Lonchura striata: one gene and its partner. The protein of the gene in region 1 purifies or fractionates together with the protein of each later gene. This does not show direct contact. Links are inferred from orthologs where the notes say so. Each region holds a gene or a part of one and is shown on either strand. Other genes may lie near its edges.

Region 1 (7,994 bases):
GCTCAAAAAGCAGTGACATCATGATAAGGTTTTCTAAAGGAACAAGGAAACTGCTTGAACTTCTTGGATGCAGGGGCAGCATCAGCACTGCAAGAAATTCCAGTCTGCAAGGTCAGACTGAGGCAACTGGTACTGCTGTGCCATGAGCACACCAAAGAGAAACTGCAGAAGTGAGACAATGCAGGGGAAGCCAAAGCAGGGTCTGAAATACTGAACATACAGCCAGTAAGCACAGGAGGGTGAACTGCAGCAAAGACCCAAAGCATTGAGGAAAAACAAAGCATAGCAGAAAGCTCTTGCCCTGACATGGACACAAACAGATCAAGGACTTGTGACAGACCCAGACAAGAGTGTATCCAGCTTAGCCACTGACACCCTTATGGTGAGACTGAACCACCTTAGTCCACAGAAATATGAAAGAAATTCCTTTTAGAGAAAAGTGCTGGGACTGCTATGGATCTGACCAATGTCATGGCTTTGTATGGCTCATCCTGGTTATTTCAGCCTTACTTTGATTAAGAACAGGGCCCTGGGACTCTGCCCTCTGCATCAGAACACTTTTGGTTTTTACATCCTCCAAAAAGGCAAACTATGCAAAAACCAAAAACAAAACAACAACAACCCAAACAAAACAAACAAACAAAAACCCCACACCAAAAAAATACCTAAACAAAAAACCCCCAAAAAACAACAACAAAAAACCCCCACCAAAACCATCAGCACCACCACCATACCAACAAAGCAGGGAAAAATCTTACATTAGAAATAAATAGACCCCACTCTATTTTCCCTAGCTAAAGTAAATATTTTGATGTGTGTAAACAGAAACCAAGACTGAAAAAGTAATGTTTTGTTCCAAGTCAGAGCCTCAGTGCAGAGAGATGGCCACATATGTATATCACAGCAATGAGTTCATCCAGTTTTGGGAATCCTGGCAGCCCTCTGGCCAACCTCTCAGTGAGTTTGTCATTCCAGCAGTAAAATATGTCGAACATTGTCTCATCAGAACATCCAACACAGTGATGTATAGAGAGGATGTTTAGTCCTGCCCATGGAAGTACAAACATGCCTGCAGCTCATAATTATTGTTGATCTATGAGTCACAAAAGCACCAACATTTCAGTTGTTTAGCATGAAAATCAGATTTTTGGTCACACACAGAGCTCTCTGGCAGCATCTTATGTAGCAGGGAGTATATCAGATTATTTTGCAGGTTATTTTTCCCCCTCTTGCACTGCATGATCTACAGCAAAGGAATTTATTGGTGGGTTATTTTCAGCCTACAGCAGCCAGAGGATCACATATTAATTTCTAATAAGCTCTGTTTAGGTAAATTACCTCAAGACAATTCTAACTCTTTTTAAGTATCATTATGTCACAACTTACCCTCCAGGACAATTAGTGGTAACTTAAGACAATAGGGTAAACCACAGCTTGATTGGCTGAATGACATCTAGAGTTCACAAGTAAAAAATTACGATTTCTTACAAATTGAGCAGAGGTCACTATTTATAAAACGGCAGGACCCCTCCATTATGTTGTATACTCTTGTCCACGGATAATTACTCTTTTAAATACAAACGACTCACAAGACTTTCACCAATGCTACAGAAATAGAACTGCTACATTTAGATGAATTATCCTTACCCCAAACACATAACTCATGCTTAAAAATTAAAATTGAAATATATGTACATTTATGAACCTTTAATTAATCATACTGTTCACCGTTTTTATTTTCTGCTTTCCTAGAAGCAGCTTCACCTTTTGTTTCTAGGCAGTATCTAATCCCTTTTTTTCACGCATCTCACACATTATAATAAGTTGTGATGTGCACATAATTACTCATTCAAAACAGCTTTGTTAAGAGTTCTTTAACAAAATCTGAGGTTAAATTTTTCCCATATGGGTTTAATCACATCTATCCTGTAACACCCTACTGAGAAAAAGTTAAAGTGAACTTCACCTTATATTTAATGTTGAAACCAGTACAGTATGGAAAATAAAGTTTTTTTTCTTTATATTGTCATGCAGAGCATACCTGTTGTTCATACAATATTTAATAACCAATTATGATTGTGCAACCCAAAGAATAAGTGTGCCACAGCACAAACCAGCTGCTTTATCAGCAATCTGGGTAAGGGTGCAGGAAAGGCAATCCAGGAAAAGCCAGGTGCTAGAAACATGGCGAGATGTGACTCATTCTTTGGCAGCAGCTTCTTTGACTGAATTCCCAGGAATTCCTCTGCATTTCAGAAGTGACAAAAGGAAACAGTCATCGAAGGGCATTCCCAAGTACATGTGGGATTAGCTTCTTACTCAGCACTTACGTAGGTCAAATTTCCCTAAAGTCAGTGGTGTTTTCCTGGGGGAATGCTGGCTTCATCCAAGGCACCAGTAATACCAAATTTTCCATAAAATTAAGTACCATAAAATTAAGTAATGCTTAATTTTAAATAATTTACCATAAAATTAAGTAATGCTTAATTGTAATATACTAACACAATACTACAAAGGTAGCTATATTATAAAGGATTCGATTTGGCTGCTAACGAAATTCCCTGATGCTTGGTCTGAGGATATCACTGCCCTATCTGCAAACATGGGATGGCCAAATTTCCTTGTAGTTTGTGAATTAATTGGCAGGAAAACAAACAATTCTCCAGTACCATGGCTTTTTCATACATTTCTACAAAATATTTTGACAGCCAGCAAAAGCAGTCTTGCTCCAAATTCTTCAGTTAGCTCTGACTGCAACACAATAATGAAAATGTAACATGAAGCCTATGTGGTTTTTTCACTTTTCTTTCTAATGTACATGAAAATGACGGGAAAAGTACAGGTATTTTAAAGCAGGAACTTTCTTCACGGCAAAATCAGCATCTTAAGGATGTAGAATACCACTCTGTACGAGTAAAAACTAAAAAATTATATTCCCTCAACCTCCACACAGATTTTTCATTGTCCTAAATCCTTTGATACTTACAAAATTAGGTGAAATAGCAAATAAGCCAGGGACCTGTACCATAAACAAGTGCTTTACTCTTTTCTGTCACACAGGGGTCTCTGTGCAACAAGCTCCTATAAAAATCAGTTATATTTTTAGAAACAACTAAGCTAACAGACTGTTTTGAATTTATTACTCCCAATTCTTACTAGAATAATTAAGGTGACAAAGTAATGACTTTCCACCTCAAAAAACTTGATTAAATCACAGGATAATTCATTATAAGAGGAACTTCAGGAGGTCTTTATCCATCACCAGGGTGACTGACAGTCTCAACTTTGAAGTTCACCATCTTTTCCTTTCATCATGTTCCCATTCCTGTAAATTCTTCCACACAAATTAGTCTTTGCTCTCTTTTTATCCCGAGACCTGCCAACACAGGAGGCTGCTCTTTATCACATTGTCTAAAGTCTTTTCTTTTTGCTGCCTCCACCAGCAGCATGTGATGATTTCCACTTGCTGTATTTTAGGCACTTAGGCCAGACAAATCTCCCATGATTGTGCTGAACCTTAAGGCTGCACGCACACATGGAGCTCCATGTTGTACACATTATGATACACATGCATGCACATACATACAATAAATACTATTGCAAATCATAACCAAATGTAACCTGGGACTTATTCTTGTACTGGTTTAAGGCTCTTTCCTCCCACTTGGTTCCATCAGAAAGGCGACATGGACATAACTAAACCAATCCAAAAGACGCCTTCTTTCAGTCCAGCTTTCCATAGTCTATGAGTATGTACACCAGTGTTACTCCATGACAGGGATATTCTTGATTAACAAGCTCTGTTCTATGCTGCCAATAAAAAAGTCTTCCGCCACAGGGGCAGCCGGTGGGCAGCAGCTTATTCAGTGTGAAGCAGCTGATTTTGCTCTCATCAACTCATCCTCAGAGTACACGCACTGGTTGGTGATACGGATTTTGACGAATCTGAATTTTGGATTTTGGTGTCTTCGAGGTCTTTGCTAAGGAAAGACTCGTACACCTGGCCAGGTATGCGGCATGCGAGGGGGGACATGCTGCTCTGCCTGGGTCCGGAGCCATCCCCTCGCCAGCGATGCCGGCACAACACCAACAGAGGATTGCCAGAGAGAAGATATTGGCGTTTCTCCTCCTGCTGCCGCCGGGGCCGCTCGGGCAGACGGAGCGGGAGAGCGGAGAGCCCGAGGGTCGCCGCCAGCGGGGAAAGTCCCGCTCCGAGCCGGGAATTCCCGCAGCGGCGCCGGGAGGACGCGGCGCTCCGGGGCTTTCGCTCCGGAGCCAGCGCCGCCCGCCAGCCCCCGGGACCCTCCTGGCCCGCGCCGCCCCCCGGAGCCGCTGCCCGCGTTCCGCTCGCCCGGCCGGGATTCCCCTGCCCTCGGAGCCTCCCGCTCGCCCCCTCCCTCGCCCCCAGGTTTCTCCCCCCGCCCCCGGTGCCGGTTCTCCGGCTCGGCCCTGCCGGGGTTCCCCGGGCAGCGCTGCCCCCGGGGCCGTGTCCCGCTCTGGCCGCGGGGGAAACAGCTCCCTGCCCGCCCGGGGTTCTCCCCGGGGGCGGAGCGCCGCCCGGCCCGGCCCCGGCCGGAGAAAACAGCGGCGGCACGGGCGGGTCCTGCGAGCCCTTAAAGGGAGCGGCCGCCTCCTCCCCCGGCGGGGAAGGCGGAAGAGCGGAGCCGCTGCCTCGGTGCTGCTCCGCTGCGAGGTTTTATGCACCTGTCCGGGCTCCTGCTCGCCCTGGAGAAGGAACAGAAGGGAGCTGCCCCGGCCATGTGCTCGGTAAGCGAGGCCGGCAGCACAGACCCCTTGGTGACCCGCTTCAGGCAGGTGGAGGAGACGCTGGAGAAACTCCACCGGGAAAACAGGAGCTTGAAGAATAAAGTGCCTCGGTACAACGCGCTCTGCACCTTGTACCACGAGTCCGCGCAGCAGCTGAAGCACCTCCAGCTGCAGCTGGCGGCCAAGGAGGCGACGATCCGGGAGCTGCGGGGCAGCCTGGCCCGGCAGCGGCAGCCCGCGGCGCCGGGCGGGGATGCGGCGGCGGGCGCGGAGCCGGCCCGCTCGCTGGTGGAGAGCCTGCTGGAGCAGCTGGAGCAGGCCCGCGAGCAGCTGCGGGACAGCGAGCGGCTCTCGGCGCGGAGAGTGGAGGCGCTGAGCCAGGTAAAGCCGCGGGCGCGCAGGGAGCGGCGCAGCATCAGCGCCGCTTTCCGCGCTGCTCCCTCGGGAGCCGGGCACCGGGGCGGCTGCGGGCGGAGGGTGCGCCCGGAGCGCCCGCTGGGTGCTGCGAGCCAGCGCCGGCAGCGGGACGAGGGTTTGAGCCCCTTCGAGCGATGCCCGCTCCGGCCCCGGGGGCCCGAAACAACCGGCCCGTTTGTGTTCAAAGGGAGCGCCCCCTGCGTTCCCTTCAGAAAGGCAAACCATAAAATCTAAACCAAAAACTCAGCATCTTCATGCAACTGTTTTCAGAAGGAGAAAGAAAAACAGTAAAAAACTCGCTGAATTTATTAGATGCAACGATTTTGTTCTCAAAGATAAGGAGCCGATGCCACGAATTTTTCCGTTAAAGTGTTGTGCTTAAAGTGCTCTTAAAAATGGAATTTGTATTGACAATGAGGTAGCAGATTCATATTCGAAGAAGCAGCTGACAATTCTGGAGAGCTAGATTAGGGAAATCGGTGTCTTTCTTGAAAGAAAAAAACCTGAAAACTGAATCCCTCCAAATCCAGCACAAGTGCTGTTTTGGTTACTGTCATTAAGACTTCCCCAGGTTCAGTCTGAAATTCTCAAAGATTTTTAAAGTATGAAGTAATTTCAAAACTGACAGCAGTACTTAAAACTGAAACAAGCATTTTTGTCATAAGTAATCTCTTGACCTAAAGCTTATACAAAACATTTTCCATATATGACACTCACCTAAAATACATATTAAAAAGTTCATGTTTGGAAATTTGTTATAAGAGATGAGCTCACTGACACTTTGCAGACAGATGACAAACCTATGGTATCTGAACATATTTGAAAGCTGATGCTGAATATCTTTAAAGGGGAAGTTTAGCATTCAGCATGAAGCTAAAGAATGTAAATGCCAGTAATAAGAACAAGTGCTGTTTATCTATATCAGATGTTAATGTTCATGTCTTGAAAGAATAAAATGCTGTGCCCAATCAGAAGGCTGAAATAATTGGCACTAAATAATAACCAAATAAAGAAGATATTTGTGTGAAGCCAGAGGCCAGTGTGCTGGCAAATAGTGTTCCTAGTGATTTACAGCTCTATTAGCAGTCCTAAGAACTGGAATGATAGAGCTGGGATTGCAGCTGTCTCATGTCTGCACTTGCCTCCAGAGACCCTTGATTCTGGAGGAGCAGTGCTGCAGAGGTTTTGATAGCAGCACCTGCTGCTTCTTGAGGGTGTGTAAAAACCAGCTTGTTTGTGTACCAGGTCAGAACCAGTGCCTTTCAGGTGCATGGCACTACAGGTGGTTTGCACCAGTCACCAAGCAAACCCCTTCCTTCTCAGAACACCTGCAGAGATGTTAATGCAGTGTAGATGATCCCACAGAACTTCCAGTAGGACAAGGAGATGCAGAAACAAGATACACAGTTGATTCCTAGGGGAGTGTCAGACCCCCTCATGTACCTGGGAGGCAGCTGTGGCCAAACTAGAGCCACTGCTGCCACATGGATTTTATTTTCTGCTGGTTTGACCTTACCTTACCACTCCCATCCTTTCCTAGGTGGGAAAGTTGCTCTGTCTTGTCCTTGTGACAGTGCCAGGCAGTGAATACACTTCACTGGATTTGATTACTTTACAGTTCCTTTTTTTTCTTTTGAGGAAAATCTCTATTATCTGGTAGTTTAGTGTACAGGACCTGTAAGTATTTTTCAGTCTCCACATTTATTAATCTTAAATTACTTTGTTTCTTGTTTTTCTTACTGCTGTATAGTCATAAAATCTTCCTGAATTTTTGCTGCTTGTTCTCCATTCTACTGATTAGAAAGTGCTTGCATGGCTGCCTGAGCAGGTCTTCATTGATTGATCCAACAATTCCAAGGTCTTGTGATCATACAGAAATGAAATTGATTTAGTCTAGTTTTTAAGTACTTTGCAATGAATACAGGAGCTATAAGGAATTACTGCAATATTGAAGTCTGAGATAGATTTTGGCTTTTGACTTTATTTTGCTCTTAGATAACTTCCCCTCCCCCCTCTGTTTAGGAAGTGCAGAAGTTGAATCAGCAGCTAGAGGAGAAAAATGGAGAGATACAGCAGATGATAAATCAGCCTCCGTATGAAAAGGAGAGAGAAATCTTACGACTGCAGAAGACTTTGGCAGAGAGGGAGAAGGCTCAGGCCACCAGTGATGTTTTGTGCCGTTCACTCACTGATGAAACTCACCAACTTCAACGCAAATTAGCATCCACAGCAGAAATGTGTCAACATCTGGCAAAATGTCTAGAAGAGAAGCAAAGAAAAGAGAAGGGGAATTCAGATGACCAGATACCTACAGAAAGATCTAATCAGGTATTTATACAGCTACTGTGTGTGTCTTTAAAGTCTTATTAGCTTCTATGATGTTAATTAGAATATAATAGTTGTAACTGGGAAATGGCCCTTAAAATAATTTCATGCAGGGTGTTAAGACTGCCATGGCAATGGTAAATAATTCTGCATATCTGAAATTTAGGATGGTAGCAGTTGTTTACCACTTCAACTTTGGCCATCTCATCAACAGAGGCTTTTTTTTGGAGAGGAGAAGAACTTGAGAGGTTTTGTCCAGCCTCAGCAATTCCATGATCACAGTTCTTCCCTCAATACACAGGAGATAGTACCTACCTTATACCACCCCTGCTTCTGTGCAGCACTAGATGGTGCTGTGATTTTGAAGCTGATCTCTCCTGATAACTTGTTTAAGTATCAAAATCACAAAACAAAGTAGAGATATTTTAAAGTAGTATTTATATTAAGAACTCTGTAACATATGGTCTTCTTGGATCAGGATTTGG
Region 2 (7,497 bases), on another chromosome or scaffold:
TTCTGAGAGGAAAAGCAATTGTATCTCACCTCTGGCATGGCTGTACTTCAATAGCAGCAAAGCGAATTCTTTAGCAACTTGGAACTTTTTAGGGATCTTTTGATATCATAAATGTTACTGAAATCCAAGTTTATAAGTTTTGCAAAGAAGGCCTACATTGTTTCACATGAAAAAGCTTTATTTATAGTTTTGACTTGTTTTACTAAACACCAGTAGTGTGTTCAGTAGCTCATAACCCCCGACAACACATAGCGTCTCAAAGCATTGTTAGTACCACAGGCTACTTCATCCATCTCCTTCCTCCCCCAAACAGTATCCCTTCAATAAACAGAATATTCATGCTCATATCTAGGGCATATCTTTAATGAAATGGGTAGGCTTTCTTTCCTTTTCAGATGAAGGACTGTTCTGTGTAATTCAATTAATAAAATAAGGTATCTGCCTTGAGGGACAGGTGCTAAACTGCAGAGGGCATTGTTATAGCTGAAAGTGACTGGAAGTGTGTTCTCACAATCTTTAAAAGCTCGTGAAGTTTGCATCAGTATTGATTTTGTACTCTTCTGAAATCCTCCACTGTTAACAACTTACCTAGTAAATGGCATGTCCTATACATATGAGATAACTTCAAAAAATGAGTGCAATGGGATCTAAGAAACTATGTTCAGCTTCTAATGGAGAGAAGAGGGATCAGCTCCATGTGACTCACAGTTCACAGAAAATGAAAGTTTTTATTTCATTCATGCAAACTCAAACCTCTATTTGAGCAACAATATTTAAAACTTATACCTAATTTCCAGCCTTTTAGTCATTCATTGTGACTGGGAACATTAACAAAGAGCGCTGCTGTCATTTGTACTGATGGTATCAAAAGTAATTGATCCAACAGGCAGAACTATAGCACAGTGCCTGATTTTCTACTTGGTATGGAAAAATAACTTACTGGTAGCTCCCTAAACTTCAGACTCCATGCAAAGAAAGGTCACTGAAAGTCACTACTAGTGACACTTTAAGATGGCATTTTAACTAGAAGAATTGGTCCTATATTCACCCCATACCCTAGATATTCTTCTTTGACCTTACCCTTCCCTTTCTTCCAGCATGAGAAACCTTTCTGTAAACTGTATCAGTAAACCAATGTAGTTTAAAACTAAATACTGAATATATTTTTTCCACATTAATTTTAATGCAGGTCAGATCCACAGACCACTTCAAATGGCACGATAACACAAGGAAGCCTGTACAGGGACAGAACTCAGCAATAGGCACACAGAACTCCTGTGCTCAACAGCAGCACTGGCTTTGAATTGTAACACAAAGTCAGAGTTGTGTAACAGTGTCACAAGTCTGCACTGAGCAGGATAGGCCAGCTTTTCCCATCTCTGGCCATGCATTTTTGCTGCTTACTGATACCGCTAGCAGTACTTCTATGCTACACAGTTGAGTATACCAAAGTAGCTCCCTACGTCCTCAAAAAAGCAACAACAAACCCCCTAAAAAAACCAATCTCAAAATTAAAACTGGAGCTAGCTCACTGCAAGGCTGCTGGAGCACTACTACCAGCACAAGGAGGCAGTGGGAACATGCGACTAGCCGTGGGCAGGACTGCCGCAGTCTAGATTTAGATTGGATTAAACTACTCTGTAGTCACACCCCGGGTTGCCTGCTGCTGGAATAAATAACTGCTTCTTATGTTATCTGTCTCGTATCCAGAACTCCTTGCAGTTAGAAAAACTGGCTCATTTTCCTGCTTCTCCTCCATAGGCATCAATATTTATCAGGGAATTTGCCAACTGTTCCTTGTCATTTACCCTTCTCCCTGCATCCAATGAGGAGGAAAAAACTCCCTCCCAACAGCCCTAAAAAAACCCCCCAAAAACCAACAAACCAAAAAACCCCAACCCAAATACCCCTGCTATTTAAATTAGTTATGATTAGTTATGCTGTACCTAAATTGCAGCTGGAACATAATTCAGCTCAAAGCTGACAATCCTGATCTTTAACAGGGACAGAATTAAAGGAAGAGATTAGTTATAGAGGTTGTTCTGAAAGTCTGAACACCTGTGAGTGCTATGCTGCTGGAGCTATGGCAATGACAAGTGGAATTTCATATTTGAGTAAAGACTTGTATACTGGATAATCACTGGGTACAGCTAATGTTGTAAAACAAACTTCTAAGTAAACAACAAATGAAACCTGCAGTTTATATTAAAATACTTGCTTAAAATCAGAAACATTTTGCTGATATAGGTAGTGGGAAGAAAAGGAGTAGTAATATGCATTTTCTTAGTCAAATGCCAAAAAAGCTCCAACACAAAGATTAGCAACATGTTTCTGCTGCAATCCCAGCTCACAGCTCACTAGTTTTCATACTAGTTTTCATACCGCCTCAAAAACCACCTTAAATTATGAAAGGTTTTAGCTAATCATGTGTATATGCACATTAATTCATAATACACTTTCCTATCTCCCATAGTTTCATGAGAGATGAGAACACAGGTGCCACCCAACCACAAGTACTCTACATATTTCTGCTCTCAAAACAGAATTTTCGATTGCTATATTTTCTAAGTTACACTGCCATCATCTCGGGAACTGGAAGTCTGTTGAGTTAATCATTTGTGAGATACTGAGAGCTCATTGAACTTTTTTGTGTTTTGTTTTTTCCCTTGTTTTTTTCTGAGTAGACACAATTCCTGCTTTGCCCGACGGCGGATGCGTCGTTAACACAGCAGGAGCCCCTCGTGGCACGGCAGCAGCGTTAGAGCTGGGCAGCCGCCGTGCGCTCAGGGCTCGGGACGGCGATTCCCGGGGCGCTGGGCTCCGCTCCCCCCGCCGCGCCGCCGCTGCCCGCGGGGGCAGCCGCCTCTTCCTGCTCCTGCGCTCGCCCGCCCGGGCCATCGCCTCCCGGCAGCGAGCCCGCTGATCCCGTCCCCCGATTCCCCGCTCCCGGAGCGCCTCCGCTCGCGAACGACGCGGCCCCGGCCCCGCTCCCGAGCCGGGCCGAGCGGGAAGCGGCAGCCCCGGGAGCGGGGGGCGGAAGCGCGGCCCGGCAGCCCCGGTCGGGATGCCCGGCTCGGGATGCCCTGGTGCGCCGTGCGGCCCCGGGCCGAGCGCCGCCGCTCCCGCGGGAGCGCCAGGAGCGCGTGGTTTCCAAAACGACTCAGACTTACGAGCGCCTCACGGAGCCCGCGGCCGCTCCCGGCAAGGGCGCTCGCTCCTGCCCGGGCGCCTTAACCCAGGAACCAGAAGCGACTTCCTGCCGTGCCTCTCCCCGCCCTGTGACGGGGCGCTGCCCGCGCCGGCCCCGGGTCGGGGCAGGGCAGGGCGGCGGCCGCCGGAGGTGCCGGGTTCGCGCGGGGACGGCGCCGTCCTTGTCCGCCCCGCGCGAGGATGGGAGCCGGTCCGCTCGCCTCTGCTGTCGGGCAGTGCCTCTTCTGCCTGGCTGCGGAAGACCGCTCAAGCAGCCTCTGTGCTGCTCCCGAAGTCCACAGCACTTTCCTATTTCTGTCTTTCCATGACTTAAGAGTGATTTGTAAATAACAGTAGTTACATTTGTATATAAAAGTATATTTACTTTTCATGCTCAGGGTAGTTCTCTCTGTTGTAGGTTACTACTGAGGCATTTCCCTGCCTGCGTTTATTTAATGTAGGCAATGAATACTATAGGTAAGATGATAGTGGAAACATACGGTTTTAATTTTGCTACTGCTACAAGCCCTTCTCTCTTTAGGTCACGTGTATAAATACAGCTTTTTTTTCCCTGAAGGTGTGTAGGAGGATGGGAGAACACGAGGCATTTGTACATACTTGCCCAGTATACCATCACAGAGCCAGCGGCAGAGAAGCACTGCAGATTTTCATTTAATCTCATCTGTCTCTGAACCCCAGTGAACATATGCATGCAGCCGAGCTGTGGTGTTTCTTCTAGGGCAGAGCTTTTTGGTTTGTTCACTCATGGATCAGAACTTGCATTCCACCTATTACAGCCTACCTACTACCCTGGGCAGCTGCCCTTGGAATCCTGAGGATTGAGCTCAAACATCGCCACAGAAATAGCTAGCTGTTGCTTTCTGTGCTCTTTTGAAGATTATTTATATTATAATTTATCTTTCCTGCAGAGACTTCAGCTTCTCTTTTGGTCTGTTTTGGCCTGTACTAAGGCTAAAGAGACTTACAGGCAGAGAGGTGAATGAGCCTATCAATATACTTCCTGTTTGGCCATTTTTAAGAACTTAAGGTGAGGTCCTAATGAATTATTAAGATTCAGAGAGAGTTTGCTCTTTTAACGTATTTCCAAGAAAGGGGAATTCAATTTCCTTTTTCAGAGACAGTGCTTGAGACGTCCAAGTTAAGGTTTCATTCAACGGGGTCTTAAAAAATAAATTAGGGTGTGGGCAAAAAAGGCTATTGTTTCTCTTTTAATTCTACATGTTACATTTTTAGTCAGTTTTGGCAAGTAGTTGTGCACTTAAAATTATAATGGATATCTCAGCTGAAACATAACCTGAATTTCTTAAATTCAGATGCAATATAATTTAACTTATGCTATATTTAAGAAGGGATAATATGCAGAAAAGCACAAGTGGGTGTTGTCTGGTGGTTAAGCATGCCTCAACTAAAATTATGGCTACCTGAATTCAAATAGCCAGAACATGTATACCACCTCTGAAATACTACCATTGCATGTTAGTTGTTTTAGGGGAAAAAATTGCTTATTTAATTCTTGGAACGTACTTAATGTAAATTTACTGTGAAGATCTCAATCTCAGCAACTCAATACTGACAACTGTCTACACACATGACTTTTCAAAGAACATGCATTAATGTCTTAGTGCTTTATCAGTAATATTCTTTCACAGTAATATTCTTTCTCATGGGAGAAGCTGGTTTTTCCTCTCTTTTCATTATTTAGTGCCTTCTTTCTTTAGATTTCTTCCCCCAATACAATAAGGTATATTTTACAACCTTTAAAGTAATCCATCTTGATAATCCTAGAGACCTCCAACCTTTGAATAAACTAAATTGAAGAAAAGAAAAATACCCATGAAAATAGTACAAAACCTCTATTTCATAGCTAAATTGATCTCTGATCTTTTAGAGTATTTTCTGCTTTGCTCAATTACTAAATTACTTTATGTCCTTTTCTTCTTAATCTTGCTTTCTTTTTCTTTGTTTTTTTACTTTCTCCTCTTTTGTCTCTGTGTTCCCTTCCCTACAGCTTTTCCAGGAACAGCTTTCTGTATTTCTACCCCACATCAATCTTTCACACTTTTATGTCATTGTCAAGGCATGATTGTTTTCCTGTATGTAGTCCACATAAGACAGCTGAAAGAAGAAGCACTTATCAGTGTATATAAAAATTATTTAGGATTTTAGGAATCTAGTTATCTTAAAAGCAGTTGCAAATCACTTATCTGGGCTTTGGGAGTGGTGGTGCAGGGCTTTCTGTTTTTAATATTTTATTTTACTTTGTGTTCAGAGTCAGAGAAAGTCTTACTTTGACTACTTATGTTTAGAAATTTAGAGTGGGGTGTTTTTTTGTTCTTGGTAGGGGATTTTGTTTGGATTTTTTTTGTTTGTTTTTTTTTTTTTTTCTTGGTGATTGGGAACTAGCAAGTTGATACTTTTTTTATTGTGAAAATTCAAGTTTGTGCTCAGTGGGTCAATCAGTGTATTTAAATACTTACATCATCTATATACAGTTTGCTTTTTTACATTACTTCTGAAATGGTATTTTAACAGTCTGTGCTGATGAGTTAACACTGTGCTCTTGGTTACACTGCGTGGGGCCCGGGGAGGAACTCACTGCTTTCGGGAGAGGCTGCTGCTGGAGCAGCTGGCAAAGGGCTGGAGTTCATCAAAGGTTTCATCTGATTCCTTTTTATGATTCTCTAAGCTTATAAATGCAAATTGGCTTCTACTAGAAAGAGGTTAAAATGTTTGTTGCAAGTTTTTAATGTAGCCATTCGTTCAGACGCTAGGTGGCTCACGTCAGATGTTAAACCTTTTCCAGAACTTTGAGACTGTGGTCCCAAAGGAGTGTGCGGGGTGCTGGAAGTCTCTGTTGCTCTGGGGTGTTTCACCGTTCTTTTAGTCTCTTGCTGCTTTAACAAAATAAAAAGCATGTTTTGATCTTGAAATGCCTTTCCTGGTCAGAAAATGAGAACTGTGGATTTAGACCAAATGTTGTCGTTTCATAGCGTGAAGGAAGTTGAGGCTGATTATTTTTTTCCCAACATCAAGAATAATAGTTGATGAGCCTATGTAAACCTTAGTATGTAATTTACCTATAGGTTGTAACAGACAAAATTAGTTTGTGGGTACCAGAAACTAAAGGATATTTAATCAAAATGCAGACAGATAGATTTGGAGCACTATAAACAACATAAAAGTAATGTCTTATACTTTTTCGATGTGTCTGAATGCTGAAGTTGATAAATCTAATTTTACTCATTAGAAAAGTGTAGGAACAAAAAGTTTGGATTTGCTTGTCTCATCTCTTTGGTAACAGTATAGGCAATCTTTATGTTGCCTGGAGGAGTATCAACAGGATTATGAAATGTGGTTTTGTGCTTATGACTAATATTAGCTGGGAACTTCCACTGAGAAATACCCAACTGAAGAACTTCCTTAAATGCAACAGCGTGCAGACAGTCATTCTTTGAAACAGAGACTTTAGCAGAGGCAGCCTGCAAACTGGTTTTGGACCCAGTGCAACATTTTTTATTTCTGTAAGTGATGTCAATGGTTTCTGGAAGATCCCTACCCTGGAGAAAGGCTAACCTGCATAAAAAAGGAGCAGTGCATGAACAGGCAACCCTGTATGCATGGGAATGGTTAACATACAACTGTTGGAACAAATAGAATACATACTTTTTAATATATTGTGAGGAAAAAACCTGTGATGATAATGACACCAAAAGAAACTACAACAGCTTTAGAAAACAAATGTTATTCCTCTGTATAGAATATAACCTGTGTTACATATAGAGGGAGTAAAAGACAAGGAGTGTAATGCTTCTTTGAGAAGAATAGCCAATCCACTGATTCTTAGTTAAGCTTCAAATGAACTTTATTAGACAGGCTCTTAAGCTCTGTTTTATTCTAATTGTGTCTCTCCCCACTTCCCCTCAAACTACTGAAATTGAGTTCTGTAGAACAATGTGGGGAAAACACCCTTGAAAAATTCATGTTCTAGCTTGAGTGCCTTTTTGCCATAGAGGCAAGTATTCGGGAAATTTAACATATAGTCATTAATTCCCTAGATCTGTCAATGTGAAAAAGTGAGATATTATGGTATCAACTACATTACATAGGTCTTTTTCCTTTGTTCCATGCTAAAATTTAATTAATTGATAGCTCATTTGTATAGAACTATATTATATACAATATCTAATATAAGAAAACAGGATTGATAAACAGAACCTTTGTACTATTTATTAAATGTTTTTTGATCCCAAGCCTCTATTTAGGTTTTCAGTGTGGAGTAAGAGTGGA

What was found.
Region 2: the proteins of TNIP2 (region 1) and TANK purify together in Homo sapiens (affinity purification with mass spectrometry; 3 studies listed by BioGRID and IntAct, with this or other methods). This does not show direct contact. The link is inferred for Lonchura striata from reciprocal best matches to the Homo sapiens genes TNIP2 and TANK.

Annotation. Positions count from the first base shown.
Region 1 is NC_134606.1:9,222,127-9,230,120, reverse strand, and holds the start of TNIP2 (TNFAIP3-interacting protein 2), read left to right. Parts: upstream 1-4,698; coding exon 4,699-5,148; intron 5,149-7,206; coding exon 7,207-7,512; intron 7,513-7,994. UniProt on the Homo sapiens protein: Inhibits NF-kappa-B activation by blocking the interaction of RIPK1 with its downstream effector NEMO/IKBKG.
Region 2 is NC_134610.1:16,853,577-16,861,073, reverse strand, and holds the start of TANK (TRAF family member-associated NF-kappa-B activator), read right to left. Parts: upstream 3,275-7,497; 5' UTR 3,171-3,274; intron 1-3,170.